Macaca fascicularis: one gene and its partners. The protein of the gene in region 2 interacts with the protein of the main gene of each other region in a biochemical or structural test. Links are inferred from orthologs where the notes say so. Each region holds a gene or a part of one and is shown on either strand. Other genes may lie near its edges.

The links.
Region 1: the proteins of HDAC4 (region 2) and NACC1 form a complex in vitro, tested with the Homo sapiens proteins (2 studies listed by BioGRID). The link is inferred for Macaca fascicularis from reciprocal best matches to the Homo sapiens genes HDAC4 and NACC1.
Region 3: of the proteins of HDAC4 (region 2) and CAMK2D, one has a biochemical effect on the other in vitro, tested with the Homo sapiens proteins (2 studies listed by BioGRID, with this or other methods). The link is inferred for Macaca fascicularis from reciprocal best matches to the Homo sapiens genes HDAC4 and CAMK2D.
Region 4: the proteins of HDAC4 (region 2) and ZBTB16 form a complex in vitro, tested with the Homo sapiens proteins (2 studies listed by BioGRID). The link is inferred for Macaca fascicularis from reciprocal best matches to the Homo sapiens genes HDAC4 and ZBTB16.
Region 5: the proteins of HDAC4 (region 2) and NR2C1 form a complex in vitro, tested with the Homo sapiens proteins (2 studies listed by BioGRID). The link is inferred for Macaca fascicularis from reciprocal best matches to the Homo sapiens genes HDAC4 and NR2C1.

What each region holds. Positions count from the first base shown.
Region 1 is NC_088393.1:13,519,488-13,523,582, forward strand, and holds the start of NACC1 (nucleus accumbens-associated protein 1), read left to right. Parts: upstream 1-1,290; 5' UTR 1,291-1,398; coding exon 1,399-1,428; intron 1,429-1,717; exon of another isoform or gene 1,718-1,914; intron 1,915-2,484; coding exon 2,485-2,503; exon of another isoform or gene 2,504-2,623; intron 2,624-2,755; exon of another isoform or gene 2,756-2,946; intron 2,947-4,095. Other genes in the region: TRMT1 (tRNA (guanine(26)-N(2))-dimethyltransferase), read right to left, coding at 118-260, 490-545, 639-898. UniProt on the Homo sapiens protein: Functions as a transcriptional repressor. Seems to function as a transcriptional corepressor in neuronal cells through recruitment of HDAC3 and HDAC4. Contributes to tumor progression, and tumor cell proliferation and survival.
Region 2 is NC_088386.1:135,043,439-135,046,950, forward strand, and holds part of HDAC4 (histone deacetylase 4), read right to left. Parts: intron 1,302-3,512; coding exon 1,185-1,301; intron 1,101-1,184; coding exon 902-1,100; intron 1-901. UniProt on the Homo sapiens protein: Responsible for the deacetylation of lysine residues on the N-terminal part of the core histones (H2A, H2B, H3 and H4).
Region 3 is NC_088379.1:119,046,655-119,050,166, reverse strand, and holds part of CAMK2D (calcium/calmodulin-dependent protein kinase type II subunit delta), read left to right. Parts: intron 1-155; coding exon 156-250; intron 251-2,618; coding exon 2,619-2,741; intron 2,742-3,512. UniProt on the Homo sapiens protein: Calcium/calmodulin-dependent protein kinase involved in the regulation of Ca(2+) homeostatis and excitation-contraction coupling (ECC) in heart by targeting ion channels, transporters and accessory proteins involved in Ca(2+) influx into the myocyte, Ca(2+) release from the sarcoplasmic reticulum (SR), SR Ca(2+) uptake and Na(+) and K(+) channel transport.
Region 4 is NC_088388.1:112,988,391-112,992,341, reverse strand, and holds the start of ZBTB16 (zinc finger and BTB domain-containing protein 16), read right to left. Parts: upstream 2,803-3,951; 5' UTR 1,937-2,802; exon of another isoform or gene 1,150-1,936; 5' UTR 1,055-1,149; exon of another isoform or gene 1-1,054. UniProt on the Homo sapiens protein: Acts as a transcriptional repressor. Transcriptional repression may be mediated through recruitment of histone deacetylases to target promoters. May play a role in myeloid maturation and in the development and/or maintenance of other differentiated tissues.
Region 5 is NC_088385.1:102,135,069-102,139,272, forward strand, and holds the start of NR2C1 (nuclear receptor subfamily 2 group C member 1), read right to left. Parts: upstream 2,813-4,204; 5' UTR 2,578-2,812; exon of another isoform or gene 2,297-2,577; intron 2,256-2,296; exon of another isoform or gene 1,854-2,255; intron 1,541-1,853; exon of another isoform or gene 1,014-1,540; intron 1-1,013. UniProt on the Homo sapiens protein: Orphan nuclear receptor. Binds the IR7 element in the promoter of its own gene in an autoregulatory negative feedback mechanism. Primarily repressor of a broad range of genes.

The DNA of each region.
Region 1 (4,095 bases), on a different chromosome or scaffold from region 2:
ATCCTCTTCTGGGCCCCAAGGAGCCCCCACCACCCACCTCCTATAGCTCTCCCCCTCCAGGAGCCCTCTGTCTCCCGCTAAATTCCAGGACTGCCAGCTGCTATGCTCAGGCCCCACCTCACAGATTTCCCCCACGGCCGCTGTGCGAGGTTGGTCTCCTGAGGCCAGGTTTTCATTCTCTTTCAGTTCAACCTTTTCCTCCTCTTGCTCTGACAAGTCCACGACCACCTTTTGCGCGTCCTTCTCTCCTGGCACCTTGACTGCAGCCACCCAGAGGCACAAGTCAGAGAGTAACGAAGTCCTCTCTGAGAAACCTCCCCTTAATCTCCAAAATATCTTCCCTGAAATCCCTGGGGAAAGGCTGAAGGAGCAGAACCCAGGGCCTGCTATGTGGCTGAAGCCTCTCTGGATTTGGGCGGCAGAAGGGCCCAGGCAGGGAGATAAGACTTGTGTGACCCCCGCCCGCCAGAAGCCTGGACCTCCACTCACTCTGGATTCCTTTGGCCCCAAGCTGAATGCGAGCAAACTCGGTGATCACAGCACATCTGGTGGGAGACAGAGGACTAGCTCATACCCCGCCCCCGCCATCCACACTGACCCACTAGCCGATGCCAGGCTGACCTCTGACCCCTGCTCACGTCAGGTCCCGATTGAATTCCTGCACCGGGTTATAAAAGACCTCGTTGGCGCTGGGAAAGGCGATTTTGGCAGCCCCCTCGGTGATTGTCGTCTCCTGGACTTCACGTGGGCATTCTTCTCCGCAGGGCCCGGTGCCGTTCTCCATCGCTGCTGGATTCGGCAGCCCTGGGGACTGCCCCTCGAAAAACCGGGCTGTACAGAGCACACGGGTGGGGCGGAGAGTGAGGCTTAGCCACAGAACGATCCTTGCATGAGACATCCGCTGGTGCCTCTGTCCGCCAAGCCTGGTTCGGGGGGCGGGGAAAGGCACAGAGAGGGTCAGAGAGCCGCATTCTGGGCCCGGGGGTGTCCTACATATCTATGAAGTAGAAACTAGGAAGACCTGCGGCCTCGGTAAGCTGATAACCCCTTGTTTTGGGGATGACTGGTTCCTGCGGAGCCGATGCCCTCGTGCAGGCCCGCCCTGAGTCCGAATCCCTTCCCGCACTGCCCAGCCCCTCCTCACCTGGTCTCGTAGCCACAGAAAACCGAATTAGTCAAGGTGCACGTTTCCCAAATTAGGACCTGGGCGCCGCCATGTTGGCACGGTGGGTGGGGGAAATCACATGATAGTGGTTGGCCAATCAATGAGGACGTGGACGGTGGGCGGCCGGGATCAAAATGAATGCCATAAAGGAAGCGCGCTGATCATGCTGTTCCGGGGGTTTTAATCACAGTGGATCCCCTGGGAGAGGACACGTCACTAGTCCCATTTCACAGATGAGGAAGTTGTGGCTCAGAAAAGGGGCGGTAAGCGGAGAAACCCAACAGCTATTGGTCCTCTTCTGTGTTCTGGGTGCTATATACACATTATTTCAGAGCACTCTGCAGGGATAACTCAGGCTCTGGAGTTGGATTTACTGGGTTTGAATCTCAGTCCCACCACATGCTCGGGGCCGGTTACTCTAGGGCCTTCAGTTTTCTTATCTATTAAATAAGAATCGTGGTTTCTCAGATAGAACAAAGATTAAATGACAGATTCCTGGAAAGTGTGTAAAGAGCCACTCTGACCTTGTAAGCGCTCGGTAAAGTTCTAACCAGTGTACGAAGGCAGGACAGCGAAGTGGTTCCCGGGTACCTGGGTTCCAGTCTTAGCTCGCCCTGCGACTTGTTGTTAACTCTGAACTTAAGTTACCGCTTTTGCAAAAGGGCAGAACTTTTTACCATTTGTTAGTGGGTTGTAGTGAGAAGTAAACGAGTTAGTGCACGTAAAATGCTAACAGAACCTAGCATCCGGTAAGCATCATAAAAGTCTTAGCTGTTATTGTCGCTTTTGAGCCTGCGTTTAAATCCTGGCACCCGCCATCACTTCCTTGCTGTGTGATGATCTTGACCAGCTTTCTTTGTGCCTCCTTTTCTGTCTTTCTTTATTTTCTTTTTTTTTTTTTTTTTTTTTTTGAGACGGAGTCTCGCCCTGGATCATGCAGTGGCATGATCTCGGCTCACTGCAACCACCGCCTCCCGGGTGCAAGCGATTCTCCTGCCTCAGTCTCCCGAGTGACTGGGATTACTAGCGCTTGCCATCACGCCCGGCTAATTTTTGTATTTTTAGTAGAGACAGGGTTTCGCCATATTGGCCAGGCTGGTTTTGAACTCCTGACCTCAGGCGATCCACCCACCTCGGTCTCCCAAAGTGCTGGGAGTACAGGCGTGAGCCACCGCGCCCAGCCGCCTTTATTTTCTCTAGTGTGTAACAGTTCCCACTAAAAAATGTTACTGTGTAGTTTAAACGAGCTAATTCCCATAAAGAACCTAACACGGTGCCTGCTGCAATAAACAGCAGTCATTATTGTTTTTGTTTTACAGGAAACTAAAGTTCGGAAAGGTAGAGCGACTTGCCCAAGGTCGCGGGACTAGAAGGTGGCGGGGTCGGGATTCGAACCACCGAGCTGAGCCGACGTACCGGCGAGGATCCTCCCAGGGGCATAGAGAGGAGACGGAGCCGGTTAGATGGGGCGCGCTCGGAGCTCGGCTGGCCTCGCCTGGAGGGCGGGGCCTGAGGGCGGTGCGCGGGCGGGGCCGGTGCCGCTCCTCCCTGGCCTGGCTGCGGCGGCGGCGCGGCTTGCGCTCGCTCGGCGCTCGGCTGGGGCGGCCTGGCCCACAATGAATGGCCGCCGCGGCTGCCGCTGCTGCTGAGGCGGAGGCCGCGGAGGCCGCGGAGGCGGAGGCCGAGGCCCCGGCGCAGGGGGGCGCGCCCCGGGCCCAGGCCCGGCCCCAGCCGCCGCTGCGGAGCCCGCCGGGAGCCCCCGGAGCTCGGCCACGGCGCAGGTGAGGCGGCCCGCCTCAGGCCCGGTTCCGGCCTTCTCCAGCCGGGGCGGCCCGAGGGCTGAGTGGGGAGGGCCTGGGTGCTTTCTCGGACTGAGGAGGAGCCGGGCCCGCAGCCTGCACTGTGCCCGGGCAGGCGTGTGTGTGCAGGCCCGGCTACCGCGGGCAGACTTGAGCGTCCAGCCCGAACCTCGGGGCTTGGGGGCGGCAGGATCGTACCTGGACCGCTCCCCCAGCTCCCAGCGAGGGAGGGGGCCAGGTCGGGCCGGGGCGGGTACCGGGGATCCAGGGAAGTTAGAGGGTCCGAAGCGGAAAAGTGAGGAGGCGCCCGTGGATGCCGGAGGGGGAGGGGGAGGAGGAGTCGGGCTCTGGCCAGGCCGAGTGGGGGAGGAGAGGAGAGCGGCGCGGCCGGAGGGGGGCGGGGAGGGGCCGGGCCTGCAGGTACCGCCTGGGCGCTGGAGGAGGTGGGTGGGTCAAGTTACAGGCCTGGGGGCGGCTGAGGAGAAGCCCAGGAAGTGGGGCACGGTGGGTGTGGGCGGAGTTAGTTCGGGTGGGGGCGGATAGGAGATCCCAGAGATGTTTTCCGGGGGTCACATGAGGTCAGGACTCAGATGTGGGGAGGGGGAGGCTAGATCTGGGGGCGATTAGGTAAGGCGAGGGACTGCTGTAGGAGCTTTGCGAGTCGGGGGAGCAGAGCCTTTGGGCTAGGCTGGGGGGATGTGGGGGCAGGTCAGGAAAAGCTAGTGTGACCAGCAGGTATATACTGAGATGCGCCCCCCATCGACCCCAACTCGAAGTGTTAGTTCAGAGTCACATCTAAGGGGTTCCCTCATTCCCACACCTCATCCCAGAAGCCTCTAGAGTCCTGACCCTACCCCTTGGGCAAGCCTCTGCCAACTGTTCAAAGGCGCTGGCCAGTGGGTGTTTGTGTGGGCAGCTGGAGACAGTCTGGAACACCTAGCTTAGGCATCTTGTTTATCACAAGGTGGCCCTCGCCCACCCCCACCTTATATATCTACAGGGAGGCAGCCCAGCAGACATTACCTGAGTATTTTAGGATCCTGCGTTCTTTCTCTACCTTTTGTGGCCAGAAGCTGGTGGTTCAAGCCTAGTGGATGGGACCTCATAGCCACCGTCATATATATTAGTACC
Region 2 (3,512 bases):
TTTCATTGGCAACAACAGATTTCCAGGAAGCCAAACCCAAAGCTGTGAAGATGTATAATCATGACCCGCATGGCAAGGGGGTAGGTAGAGGCTCCCTCGTTTATTTATTTATTTGTTTCTTTGTTTATTTATTTATTTATTTTTGAGACGGAGTCTTGCTCTGTCGCCCAGGCTGGAGTGCAGTGGCACCATCTTGGCTCACTGCAACCTCTGCCTTCCGGTTTCAAGCGATTCTCCTGCCTCAGACTCCCGAGTAGCTGGGATTACAGGTGTGCACCACCACGCCCAGCTAATTTTTGTATTTTTAGTAGAGACAGGGTTTCACCATGTTAGTCAGCTGGTCTTGAACTCCTGACCTCAGGTGATCCACCTGCCTCGGCCTCCCAAACTGCTGGGGTTACAGGTGTGAGTCGCCACGCCCGGCCGGTGCTCCCTCATTTCTGAAGTTATACTTTCACATTGCTGTTGCTATGTAATTTCATAAGGAAGTTCCCATTTTTCTCTAAATTGTATTTTTCTAAATGTAACCACACCCCCAGACAGTGCACATTTGTAAAAGTTCTGCTAACACCAACTGACCACGAGAGTCAGTTCTGGGCTTCCAGTGCTGGCTCAGCTTGGTCCAGACAGAAACCCAAACTGCAAGAGCCAGCGGCCTCTCCCAAAAGGTGAGAAAGGGAAGTGACTTCCGCTTCCACTCCATCTACCTGGCTCTGGGAGTGAGGCGTGGATTTTCACTGCAGTCACGGCAGCTACATGACGTGAGGGGGATGTGTGTTTGGGAACTGTGGGGGTGGGACAGGCATGCCTTCGTCTCCTCCAAAGGCAGGCGAGGGCCGGGCACCGTCCAGAGCACGGGTAGCCTCAGAGCCTGGCTGCACCCAGGCCCATCTGTGCTCACCTGTGACGAGGGGCGCTTGTGCCGGCGGCTGCTCCAGTAAGACCATGTGCTGCAGAAGAGGGCTGTGCGCTGCCCCTCCGTCCCGCTCCAAGGGCGAGGTGCTCAGGTAGGGAGTGAGGTGGGTGCCGGGGAAAAGGGAGAGCCGCTGCTGGAGGGCGGGAAGGGTGAGTCTCTCGGCATCCTGCTGGCCTGCGGTGCCCTGGAAAGCACAGCCGGCGATGCTGGGGTGGAAGGGCCCATCACCGCCACCCCACGCCGCACGGACCCACGGGGGCTGACTTACAGCAGCAGGGCCGGTGGCAGGCAGGCCCAGCGTGATGTTGGGCAGGGACGGCGACGTGTAGAGGGGAAGTGGAGCGGCCGAGCCTTCTCGCGCCACAAGTCTGTGCGCCAAACTCGTCTGGGGACAGAACACATGATGACTGTCACAGTCTGTTACGGCCAAACATCAGCAATATACACCGAGAAAAACAACGATGAAAACACCTGTGGCAGCCTGCACTGAATTCTGATCTATGAGTGCAAACATACACGTAGCAAATGATACAGCAACGAGAGCATGAGATTTCAACACGCACCACAACATGAAAGCCCAATGCACGGCTCCAGTTTCCTCCCCGCGATACGGGTTCTTCTGTCACCTTGTCCAGCATCATCGTGTTGATTTCAATTCAGTGTGATTATTTACCACAGACTAGTCAGAAGGAAATCTAGGATAATACAGTTTCCAATGCCGTTTTGCAGTTTCTAGGATAATACACTTTACAATGCCTTTTTGTAGTTGGCGTTGGCCATGTCTTTCCAGACAACAAGAAAAGCAGAAACCAAAAAGGAAATACAATTTAATTGTACATTGAAAAATAACTATAAGGGTATGATTGGATTGTTACACAAAGGATAAATGCTTGAGAGGATGGGCACCCCACACTCTGCATGACGTGACAACTACGCATTGCAGGCCTGTATCAAAACATCTCACGTACCCCATAAATATATACATTATGTACCCACACAGATTAAAAATAAAAAGAAAATCATAAAACAAGTGCTCCTATGAAAGGCAGGCAATGATGACAACAATACCAACCACGTATGAGGCAGGTGAGGGTCAGCACAGAGCGCCTGCGAATCAAACAACTAACAGTGAGAAAAGCATGCGGTGAAGACCAGTGACGGCAGAGCTCAGGAAGCGGAAGACGTTCAGGAAAACACATTATGGTCATCTGGAAACGTATTTTGAAACCCCAAAAATTGGCAAACATTTTTGAAAAATGATAATACCACCTTGGCCTAGAGGAACCGCAAACGCTGTTGAGAGCGCTGCAAATCACTTAGTGGCATCCTTTCTGCAGGACAATATGGCAGTCTATGGCAAACGCCTTCAAAATCAGTCTAACCTTTGATCCTAGAGCTCCACTCTTGGGATGCAACGTTAAGAAATAAGGAGAAGGCCTGATGCCAATGAAGCCTCGGCTGTGGGGCTGAGCACCCAGCAGGCAGGGCAGAGCAATGTGGCTTCCCCAGCACCTCGGTGTTAACAGAATGGAGGGGCATTGCACATCAGGACACTCTGGGGGTTAGGAACAATCTTGGGTGATTACTTGGACACTTGTTTATGATACATTAAGTTAGAAAAACAGGTTATAGGTCATGTAACTTTTAAAGAATGGGCTTGGATAAAGCAAACATAAGCCAGGAGTACAGATTAGAAGGCCACACAGGAAGGGTCAGCAGCAACAGTCTCCAAGGACTTGAACTACTGTGATATTTAACATCTTTTTGCTTGTAGAATCAATGTGTTTTGCTAAAAAGGACAATAGTTTATCACCACTATAACCCCTACACAGTAGCTACTCAAGGAATGTCTGCTGAATGAATGGGCAAACAGAGAATGAATAAATGTTGTAATCACGCTAGTTAGTGGGGTTTGGCAGATAGAAATCCCCTTGCCAGAAACTAACATTAACAATGAATAAACAGATTCCATTATACTCTCTACCTCCACGACAGCAACTTTTTTAGCTACCCCAGATGAATAAGAAAATGCGATGTTTGTCTTTCTGTCCCTGGCTTAGTTCACTTAACATGAAGGCCTCTAGTTCCATCTGTGTTGCTGCAAATGTCAGGATTCCATCCTTTTTGATGGCTGCATAGTACTCCACTGTGTACAGCACCACATTTTCTCTGACTGTTCATCCACTGAAGGACACTGAGGTTGATTCTGCCTCTTGCCTACTGTGGAAGATTTACGACTAAGGCCTCAAAAGCACAGGCAACAAAAACGAAAACAGACAACCGGGACTCTGCTCAACTAAAAAGCTTCTGCACAGCAAAGGAAAAAAATCACCAGAGTGAAGAGACGACCTGCGGAAGGGGGAAATGTGCAAGTTATTCATCCGACAAGGGAAGAGTATCCAGAATATGCAGGGAACTCCAGCAACTCACCAGCAAAACCCAAAGCAGCCCATATAAAAGTGGGCAAAGGATCTGAAGAGATATTTTCCAAAAGACACATGAGTGGCCCGTGGGGACATGAAGAAACGCTTCTCCTGACAAACACTTACACTCAGGCTGTTCCTACAGAACAGAAAGTCCAGCCTTCTCACTTAGG
Region 3 (3,512 bases), on a different chromosome or scaffold from region 2:
CTCTAGAATAGACCATAACACGTCTCTCTGAAGTTTTCCTACAATCCAGTTTTCTCTGTTTTAACAACTACAGCTTAATATCATTGTGGATCAGCCACATTTAATTTATTGTTTTCTATATGACTTAAATAATGTTAATACTGTAATCTCTCCAGGTGTCATTCTCTATATTCTACTTGTGGGGTATCCACCCTTCTGGGATGAAGACCAACACAGACTCTATCAGCAGATCAAGGCTGGAGCTTATGATGTATGTAATAACTATTTATATCACTTTAGATGAAGGTTTGTTTTTTGCTTGCTGATCAAGAGCCAGATCTTTTCATTTTTCTTTTAACTATAATTTTTACCACTTTCTCTTATTATTTCCCTCTCTCTTAAGGAAAGGGAAAAAGAAATGCAGCATATGTGTTCAGCTTATGTTTCCTTTTAACTCACTCTCTCCTAAGATAAAAAGAAAAGTCATGTGAAGTCTCTGAGGAAGAACTTTGTCAAAATGTTTGGATCTTAGTGCATTTTAAAAACATAAAAATTAAAATATTTCTGCTATAAAAATGATTATTGCCCATTCAGTTGAATTATATTCTCAAATACCTATCACATAATTTTACATTATATACCAACAATATTTTGCAGTGATCACATATCAAATAGAACATTATTCCACTATACCAGTTTCTGGGTTTTGTTTTTTGTTTTTGTATTGTTTACCTAATGGGATGCTATGCAAGCTTTCATTTGAAGAATGAGTTTCACAATTGAAAAATTTGAAAATCATAATTCTAATATATTTAATTTTTAATTAGAATATTTGAAAGTAGATATATATATACATATTCATAAATTAAGTTCAGAATCTGAAGAGGAAGTCTTTATCTACTTTCTCTTTATGGCTTAACTTTGTGTTTATGATATAATTTGCTCTCCTTTGATATGTATTCTTGTAAATACGATTTACCACTTTCTCTGGTTTCCTCTCATACAGCCCTAGGGAAATCCATGTGCAGGATCTGGGCATGCTTTCCATGTGTCATTAAGTGGAGTAACTATGGAGTAGCAATATTGGGTTCACCTTTTGTGCACAAGTTGAAAGCTTTATGTGAAAGTGAGAGGAGAAAATATAAAATGTCTGTATTGTATTCTATCATGTCTCATGAACTCTTCAGTGCATTTCTGATAAAATTTTCTATTTAGATGGATGTGTGTTTCAGTTAGCAAGAATTTAAAATGTATATTCTTTGAATTTCGAAGCATTCCATTATCCCTAGACTAGTAATTGAAACAAATTATTATTTACATGGCAACAGCTAGCACATTCACCATCTTTACAGACTAGAACCAGCCCCTTTCTGGGCAGACGTAGCCCTGAAAATGCACTGCTTGGTATACCGGAGGAGTGCTTTCATGAAAATTAGAAAACTGAGGAAAAAGTTCACCTTTCTTCATGCTGAACCTACCCCTCATTTGCTATCAAAAGACCTGTACAACATTTAAGAAACAGCCTTGCATGTTTCTTTAGTAGCTCCTAACAGTTAGCAAGCTTTCACAACTGCCAAACATAAGCTTCAGGAATTAAAAAATGACAATTGTTAAGCTGGCAAGAAATTACAGGTATTAGAGTCAATATCATTTTTCTCGTGCTTTATTTTGCCAGTGAGTCACAAGTTCCCCATTTTAAAACTACCAAAAATAGACTAATTCCATTGACACAGTGACAATGGCTTTATTTTTCAAGATTGTCTACACAAATTCATGAATTGGGAAAATAACTTGATATTCTATCATTTTGCAACTAATGTAGTATAAATTTCCCTTAATCATTGAAGGACAGTATTTCTACTAAACATGCTAATGATATAAAAGTAATTTATTATCAGTACAAAAAAATAACATGAAGAGAGGAGAAGTAGCTTTCTTATATAGTCTTATTGTAAAAAAATATTAATAATGGGAAGTTATAAGATTTGATTACTTTCATATACTTTGGTGAAATTTGTAATTGGGCAGATTAAACTTCTTGAAGGGTTAAAATGAAATCTTGCTGAAGCTCCTATAGCCTCAGATTCTTCTCACTACAGCACTCCAAGTAGCCATGATTAATAGGTCAGTTTTGGCACAGGAATTGAAGCTGTTTTATTACCTCTGCTATTACTGCTTATAAGTTGTGAAAGTATATAATACCTCATTTTGAACCTTGGCATAATATTACGATGGCATTGGTACATGTAGCAACCTCTTTGCTTTTATTAAGTTTTGCAAATAATTATGAGAAAGATTGTATAAAATTTCATGTTCAGATCAAAGCAGAGATACTTTGAGAATAGAAGATTCTTAAGTTCTTTTTTTCTGAATTTTAAAATGTATTTACCATATGTGATATGCAGCTCAGTATATATGTTGGTCCCTTATCAGATACTCTTTAATATATATAGTTGTCTACATAGAGGGGGAGAATAGATCTAAATGATTTTATTTATTTTAGATACAATTTAACTTATATAAAAAGTAAATTTATGAAGAAATTCACTACTTGAGGAAATGATTCATATAGTTGACTCTTCCCTGTTTGATTGAGTGTGTCTATTTTTTAAACTTTTTATAAATTTATATTTTTGAAGTTTCCATCACCGGAATGGGACACGGTAACTCCTGAAGCCAAAGACCTCATCAATAAAATGCTTACTATCAACCCTGCCAAACGTATCACAGCCTCAGAGGCACTGAAGCACCCATGGATCTGTGTAAGTAAAACTTCTCAAAAACTTCAAGAGCTAAAATGAAAAATAAGCTGTCCTTTAATATATTGTTTATGGATTTAAAATAACTTTGCAAAAAAAAGATGAAATTCAGAATGAATGAATTTTTGACTCAAGGTGTTTAAGAAAATGAATTTTATGATGGCGAAGAAATGCAATTTTCAGTAGCAAAGTCTGAATTGCATAGATTATTAAACAAATATTGCTTGCAGTAACAAAAGGAATGAGTATTCTTCGTATCAATTATTGACAATACTCGTGAACAAGGTCAAGAAAATAACACCAAAATTAAATGTATCCCAGAAGAAAAGATTTAACAAAGTTCAATTATTTGTCATTAGGCAACTTTAGAAGCAAGTATGAAGTTTGGCAGCTGAGAGTAGAGTTTTAGTGGCATAAAAGAATGGTCATAGTAGTCTGAATATTTTTTAGAAATATTAAGAAAAATAGTGTGAAATTTGAGGGGAATCTGAAGACTTCAGTAAATTTCTGAATGTGTCAAATGCTAAGATGATAAATGCGGCACTAAGTAAATGAAAGGCAGCCCAATCGAAATGTGATTGAAGACATTAAAATAAAGATAATTTGAGAAATTATTAATATTTATTTCTACACTTTCTGGTATTTTTATTTTGTTTTGTTTTGACACAGAGTCTTGCTCTTGTCACCCAGGCAGGAGTGCAGTGGCACAGTCTTGGCTCACTGCAACCTCCGCCTCCCAGGTTCAAACAGTTCTCCTGCCTCAGCCTCCCGAGT
Region 4 (3,951 bases), on a different chromosome or scaffold from region 2:
CACAAACTTAGGTCATTTCTACCCATGGAAGCCTCAAAGTTATTGTATGTATAATCTAAAATCTGCACTGTGTGTATGTACACCAGCCAGAGACAGAAAGAGTGTGTGGGGCAGGGTGTAGTGTCTCACGCCTCTAATCCCAGCACTTTGGGAGGCCCAGGCAGGCGGATCACCTGGGGTCGGGAGTTCGAGACCAGCCTGACCAACGTGGAGAAGCCCCGTCTCTACAAAACATACAAAATTAGCCAGGCGCGGTGGCACCCGCCTGTAATCCCAGCTACTAGCGAGGCTGAGGCAGGAGAATCACTTGAACCCGGGAGGCGGAGGTTGCGGTGAGCCGAGATTGTGCCATTGCGCTCCAGCCTGGGCAACAACAGCAAAACTCCGTCTCAGAAAAAAAAAAAAGCGTGTGTGTGTGTCTTTACATACACACACACACACACTTATATAAGGGGCCGTACCTACCGTCCTGCCCACAACTGGCCGGTGGACAGGAGGATCTAAAAAACGAAGAAGGATGGATCATTAAGGTATGGAGAGAGACCACAGTAAATATGCTCCCCTACAGCCAGGAGCGCTTATGCTGGGCTGGGTGTGTGAACTCCACGTGTGTCCCACAGGCTCCAAGGAGTCTGCAAGTCCTGTGACCAGGGGCAGCAAGGGATGCCGGACATGGCTCAGAGGCGCTGGAAGTGATATTGGCACCAGCATCTGTGGTGTGAGTTACAACCAGTACGAAGGGAAGACAGGGCTGGGAAACAAAGGCCTCTCCCAGAGCCTGTTCGGGATCAATAAGAGGGCTCCTAGACTCCAAACCCCGCTTAACGAGTGTTAGAAAGACCGCGCAGGCCCAGGGCCCTCCCCGTGTCTGCCTTGCAGCGACCAATATTGCAGTGAATGCACTGAGAGCAAGGAACAGCAAGGTCTCTCCCTCACTCTTCGAACACTGCTTGCTTGCCTCCACCCCCAAAAGAAGCTCTATCAGTTCAGGAGCCACCAAGCTCACGCAGAAAGGATTCACAGGACGGCTGGTCAAGACACTTTTGTTGCCTACCCCGGGGTGGGGACGGAGGCCGTCAAGGGTGGGATGAACATTCAGCAGAGCCTGGCCACCGCGTGCTTTCCCGCAGACATCGGGGCTTCTGAGAACTAGGAGGGAACAGCCAAAAGAATGGAAGCTTGGCGCCCCAAAACAAGCCCTTTGGGTCCTGAGGGAAATCGGGGCGCCCACGGGCAGCCGTCTTCCCCACCCGCCGCTCGGCGCCCGCGATTCGGCCGGCGCTGGCTGCAGCGTCCAGCCGGGCGGCGCGGGGAAGAACCGGCGAGAACCCGCCTGAGCTCCGGGGATCGACCGTGCTCTCACACGCCTCCAGTTCCCAGCGACCCCCCACCGAGACTTGGAGACGACTTCAGCAAACTTGGGGAAGCAACTTTTCCCGAGGAGCTAGACGCCTGAAAGATGAAGAGCTGGGCTAGGGACGAGGGAAAGCGAAAGAGACTGGGAAAAAAGGCGACAGTCCGGGCGGGCTGGACTCCGCGGGGAGAGCAGCAGGGAGGCGGACCCGCCCCGCGGCGAAGGGGAAGCACAAAAGCCCCGCAAACGAGTTGTAGGAGGAAAGGCGAGAAGGGGTCTGCCCGCCCTCCCTCTCCGACCCAGGGCCGTGACCCCCGGGAAGCGACCGGCTGGGTCCCCGGCCTCTGGCCAGCGGCGCCAGCGGCCGGCGCGCCCGTCCGAAGCACCGTGCGAGCGTCTCGCGGAGGCGGCGAGCGAGTCGGTGCGGAGCGCTCCGTGCGTCCCAGTGGGTCCGTGGGCCGGCGGGACCCTGCGCATTTCAAGCGCGTGCGGGCGTGTGCGAGGCGCTGTGCGAGCTAGCGGCGGGCGCGCCAGGGTGGGAAAGGCATCCCGAACGCATCAGGTGCAGAGACCCGCACCCACCGAGAGCGGCCGGGAGCGCACGGCGAGCTCCGGTGTCACCGCCGGTCCCGTCGAGAGCCGAGGAGGGCCCGGAGCGCTGGAGACCCTCTGGAGCTTCCCTCCCTCCCCTGCAAAAGGGGGGGATCAAGTCCAATCAATAAAAAGCCCACCACGTTTTTTCAAACAGAAACAAAACGTAAGCAGTCCCAGTCCTGTTCCCCTCCGCCCCCAGATCTACTCGTCAGCTCCTCCGATTCTAGCTTCCCAGCCGGCCGGCGAATAGACACACAAATAAATAAACCACAACCCTATCTCGCGCCCGCGCACCGGTCCGCATACATAAGAGCACCCACGGGCTCTGTTCCTCCGCTGGCCCCTGGCGGTACAAAGCCTCCGGATCCCCGACCCTCTGCTCACGCCCTCAGCCCCCGCAGACCGCTACGCCCCCCACCTCTCACCCCGACCGTGCCCTGGAGAGGAAGGGCTGGGGAGGCAGCTGTGCCCAGGCTGACAGCCGGGGCTCCCCCTTCTAGCCGACCCCCAACCGGTTGCGGCGACGGCTGCAGCGGCAGGAAGGGAACACGCCAAATAAAAAAGGCACAAGCCCAGCGGCCGAGTGGCCGAAGCGAGCGCGCGCCCCCCAGACCTCTCCAGCCCCGGGGAGCCCCGGCGCGCGGCGCTCGCTCGGCGGTGCGCCTCTTCCCGGCCCCTCACTCACCGCAGCCGAGCCGGGCACTGTGGGGTGGGTGTGCGTGCCTGTCGGGGGGTGTGTGCCTGTGTCGGGGAGGGGTGTTGCTGGGGAACTGTTGCTCTCCGTATCAAGGCGGCAGCGACAGCATCGCCCGGCAGTTCGCAGTACCCGCTCTCATCGCCCTCAACTCCTCTCTGCTGCGAGGTTAGCAAATCACCACCGGCTGCTGCGCCTCCGCCGCGTCCCACGTCAACGCCGAGCCCCCTCCCCTGCAAGGCCCCGGCGCCTCTCCATCTTTAGTGCTGGCGGCCGAGCCCGGCTCCCTGCCCACAGCTGCCCCCCTTCCCTCCCCCCTCCCGCGCCGTCCTCGGGCTCAGCCCGCCCACCACCCCGCACTGGCCGAGCCCGCGCGCGCTCCCCGCCCCACCTCTCCTTTCCCCTCCCCTCCCTTCCCCTCCCTTCCCCGCGCTCCGCGCTCCGGGCTTCGCCTGACATCTAGCTGCTGCTGGGGCGCTGGCGGCCGCCGCTCACCGGCCGAGCGGAGAGGAAGGAAGGAGCTAGAAGACAGGCGTGCAGGGGACGCGGAATCCTTAATAGGGGAACTGAGGGTGAAGGGCGCGCAGGAGCCCCCACCTCCTCCCAAGACTTTAATTTCCATTGGATACGAGTTTTGTCCCCCCTCCCCCGCACCCCGGTGCTCAAGCACGCAGTTTTGTCCCCTCTTCCAATGTTTGCCCCAATTCAGTGTGTGTCATCTCGCCTTTAACTTTTTTCTCATGGCTCTGGGCTGCATTCCCAGTAGCCCCTGACATCTGTTTCAAAAGGCCGCTTTCCTAGTCCAAACCCGGGCCTCTCATCCTTCTGGCTACTGCGCGCCTCCCGGCTTGAGCATCCGGATTTCAAGAAGTCTCCCGAGGCAGAGTTCGAGGGTCCTGGTGAACCAGGTGCCAGAAGGTCCGCGAGATCTGTTGTCGAAGCGAGAGGTCCCTTTTTAGCTGTCGCGATTGCTGGAGGCCAAGGTCGAGTCCTGGGAGAAACTTTTCTCTCTCTCAGACTTGGACAGCCTCTCGGCTCTGCCCGCACCCGACCCCCGACCCCCAGCAATCTGGGTGCAAACAGTTTCCGACAACTGCGCCCAGCTCAGTGCACAGTCTTCAGGGGGCAGGGGAAAACTTGGAAAAGCTCTGGGCCCCTCAGAAGTGCGTCCTCCTTCAGCGGGCCGTCCTGCTTTAGAGGGTAGAGAGGCCAAAGAAAATGTACCCTTCCTCTGACTGCAGAAAGCTGCCCTCTCCTCTTTTCCCTGGAGCTCAGCGAAGGTAGGGTGCCAGAGGTGGGAAGCGCTCTT
Region 5 (4,204 bases), on a different chromosome or scaffold from region 2:
GCTTTCACAAGGTGTCTGGCACTGTGAACACAAGGGAGAGTTCTTTTATAATCCGACTTCCCCCATTCTCATTTCCTGTCACTCTCAAGAGGGGGCCTCTTCAGGTCAAACTATCATGTGCTTTATTCCCCAACATATTCCTACTTTCTCCCTCATTTAAATCCCACCTGACCTTTAAGATTTGGTTCAAGCCAGGGCTCCTGCCTGTAATCCCAGCACTTTAGGAGGCCAAGGCATGTGGATCACCTGAGGTCAAGAGTTCAAGACCAGCCCGGCCAACATGGTGAAACCCCATCTCTACCAAAAATACAAGAATTTAGCCGGGTGTGGTGGATGGTGCCTGTGGTAACAGCTACATGGGAGGCTGAGGCAAGAGAATCGCTTGAATCTAGGAGGCGGAGGTTGCAGTCAGCCGAGATCGTACCATTGCACTCCAGCTTGGGAAACAAGAGCAAAACTCCGTCTGGGGAAAAAAAAAAAAAAAATTTGGTTCATAGTTTTTCACCTAGTCTTTCTTCAAGGGTCTAGCATTTATTGTGTAGACTAAGGTTGTTAACTAGGATTCAGAAAAAGATTTGTTAACTCCTAATATTGTATGTAAATTTTATCTAAAGGTACATTTTTCTAGAGACAGTTCATAAAAGACTTTAAGAGGCTGCAGATGGTCTTGTGACTGAAAAAAGGCAACGAATTATATTTATCCTATTATTTATTGTATGCTGTTTTGTTTTTATTCCCCAAGAGTAGAGATTATACACTGTGTGGCAGACACCCAGATGGTAGATATTTTGGGGATGTTTGCTCCCTCAAAATCCCTCCTTAGGATGCAGTGCCTGTAATTCCAGCTACTCAACAGGCTGAGGCAGGAGGACAGCTTGAGACCAGAGACCAGTCTGGACAACAAAATGAGGCCCTCCACCATTTCTATAAAACAAACAAAAAAAAAACCCTTCCTAGAAGACACTAACATGCCCCTTGAAAGACTAAGATTAGCAACATTCCATGCGACCCACTTTTTTTCTTTTTTGAGATGGAGTTTCGCTCTTGTTGCCCAGGCTGGAGTGCAATGGCGCGATCTCTGCTCACAGCAACCTCCGCCTCCCAGGTTCAAGCGATTCTCCTGCCTCGGCCTCTGGAGATGATGGGATCACAGGCGTGCGTCACCACGCCCGGCTCATTTTGTATTTTTACTACAAACGGGGTTTCTCCATGTTGGTCAGGCTGGTCTCGGACTCCTGACCTCAGATGATCCGCCCGCCTAGGCCTCCCAAAGTGCTGGGATTACAGGTGTGAGACACCGCGCCCAGCCACGACCCACTTTTAATGATAGAAATACACATCGCTTTTTCAGATTTACTAACTGGACTTAAAGCAGTTTAAAAACAATCATCGACCGGGCGCGGTGGCTCACGCCTGTAATCCCAGCACTTTGGAAGGCCGAGGTGGGTGGCTCACGAGGTCAGAATATCGAGACCATACTGGCCAACATGGTGAAACCCCATCTCTATCAAAAAAAAAAAAAAAAAAAAAAAAAAAAAATTAGCTGGGTGTGGTGGCTCCTGCCTGTAGTCCCAGCTACTCAGGAGGCTGAGACAGGAGAATCGCTTGAACCCGGGAGGTGGAGGTTGTAGCAAGCGGAGATCGCGCCACGGCACTCCAGCCTGGGTGACAGAGAGAGACTCCCTCTCCAAAAAAAAAAAAAAAAAATCGAGTATCACCAACCACACAGCAGAAATGGTTCAAAAAACCTCAAAATTGAAGGTCTATTTACAACGTCTAGAGGTATTAAACCCTAAAGGCCTTAATTTTAGGTCTTTTGCTTTTGCTTTCCGGTTACTTTTTTAAAGACTGACCTACTTACTGAAGATTATGGGACAACTTGGCAACATTCATACTGCACAAAAATGGTATCTGCACGAGCTGAAAGAAGAATTTCTTAACAAAAGAGCTATCTATCGGAAGCTTGGACATGTCCCCTACAGTGAGGACCCCGGGGCCGTTCCGTATCTTCTGAAAAGATCCAGGTCCACAGGCAGCGACGACCCTGGCCCGATTTGTCGTGAGAGAAAAGTGAAAGTGGAGGGCGTCATTCTGTCCGTCCCGTGAAAGCATGAGAGTTAGGCAGGGGATGCAGGCCGGGACCTGCGGCCACTAGCCGGGGGTCGGCCTCTCCCGGGACTCACTCGTTCCGGCGTTAGCCGTGCGCCTTCGAGGCCCCGACGCTGCGCGCGGCTCCCCGGGGCGGGGGAAACTGCGGCACCGCGGAAGCTTTCCCTGCAGGTTAAAGGTCAGAGGCGCTGCGATGAGCGCACTGGGAGAGGCAGTTGTGTGCTCCGAGCCGCTCGGCGTCCGGCCCCGCGTCCCGCCGCCCCGCCTCTCCGGGGACCCAGAGCATTCGGCGCCGCCGCTCCGCGCTCCCAGCCCAACTCCAGCAGCCCAAAGCGGCGCGCCCAAACTGAACGGCCCCGCTGGCCGCAGGATGCCCTGGGAGCGCGTCCGTTGGCCGTTGGGGTGAAGGGCACCCCCCGTCCCCCGCCCCCGACGCGGTCGCTGGTGTCCCCACCCAGCGCTTCTTACCGGCGCTTTTGCGCCCCGCTGACTCCGGCGTCGGGCGCCGACGCGACAGTCCCGCGGTTGCCACTGCTGGATTGGGGGGCGCTCCGGAAAGAGAGGTTGAAGGAAGCCCACGGGAGGGGGGATCGAGATTCACGGCGGAGGGAGCTTTCTGTGTTTGGGTATTTGGGAGGGTCAGAGTTCGTGACCCCTTTCTTGGCTCGGCGGCGCGCTATCACGCCAGCGCCTGCGCATTAGCGACGGGGAGAAGCGGCGAGAGGAGGTCGTGACGTTCCCAGGGTGAGGTGGAGGGATCAGAGGGCCGAGCAGCGGCTCTGTGAGTCCACTGCCCCCTTTTGGCTTGGAGGCAGAGTGCCCCGCCAGAGCTACGCGTCCCCAGCCAGGTACTTTTTGCAGCCACGTGCAAAGGTTTAAGCACTGTTTGCCAAAGGTGGGCATTAGGGGAAGTTTTGAGTCAACGTTTCAGATTTGAGTAATAACCCTCTGGGTCTTAGGCATATCTGTTTCTAATTTCTGGAAAACTGGGCCCTGGATAGAGTCCAATCATATTTAAACTTTATATATAATGACAAGCTGAGGCCGACTCATGCAAATGGTAAGGCAAAGTTTCATTATAAAACTGTTGTGAGTAGAGAGACATAATGGCTAAACAGGGCAAGAATGTAGTCACTAGAGACTGGGCACGGTAGCTCACGCTTGTAATCCCAGCAAGTTGGGAGGCCAAGGCGGACGGATCACTTGAGCCCAGTTGTTCGGGACCAGCCTGGCCAACATGGCGAAACCCCGCCTCTACAAAAAAATTAGCCGGTCCTGGCGCGTGCCTGTCGTCCCAATTACTTGGAGGCTGAGATGGGAGGATCACCTGAGTCGAGACGGCAGTGAGCCAAGATCACACCACTGCACTCCAGCCTGGGTGACAGAATGAGTCTCTCTCTATATATATTTATTTTTTTTCCACATCCTCTCTCTCTATATAGTGTGTGTGTTTGTGTGTGTGTATATGAAATCCTCAATGGCCGTTTTATTGTCTGTTTTGCTCCGTGATGTATTACCAAGCGCATAGGACTGCTATCAATAATGATGTATGAAACGAAAACCAGGCAGGTGGCTGCTGGGAGGCCAAGGCAAGATCACTTTGGGCCAGCAGTTGGAGACTAACTTGGGCAAGATAACAAAACCCTGCCTCTACAAAAAAAAGTTTTCAAATTGTGAAGAGACATTGGATGGAACATCGCATTCTAATAGTGGCCACCTGTAGCAGCAAGGTGTGGCAGGAATAAATGCCCTGTGTGCAAAGTACTCTGCGCTTTAGATTTTGAAGCATTCTTGAAATTTCTATTTTTTTTTTAATCTCCTTTGTTTTACCATGAAATTTCTATTTAACCTAGCTTAGATCGGCACTGTAGGAAAGCAGCCACAAACTCAGGGCAGAAATCCAAGGAAGGAAAAACAATTGCTGGGAATGAGAACATCTCTGTTATTTCTCTTTGGAACTCGGCAGACGGACAGAGATCAAGGCATGAAACAATCCCTAACAAGTAAAAATATGCTTTATCCCTCATTAGAAATCCACCTCTGCTGAGCACAGTGGCTTCTGCCCCCAGAGCTTTGGGAGGCTGAGGTAGGAGAC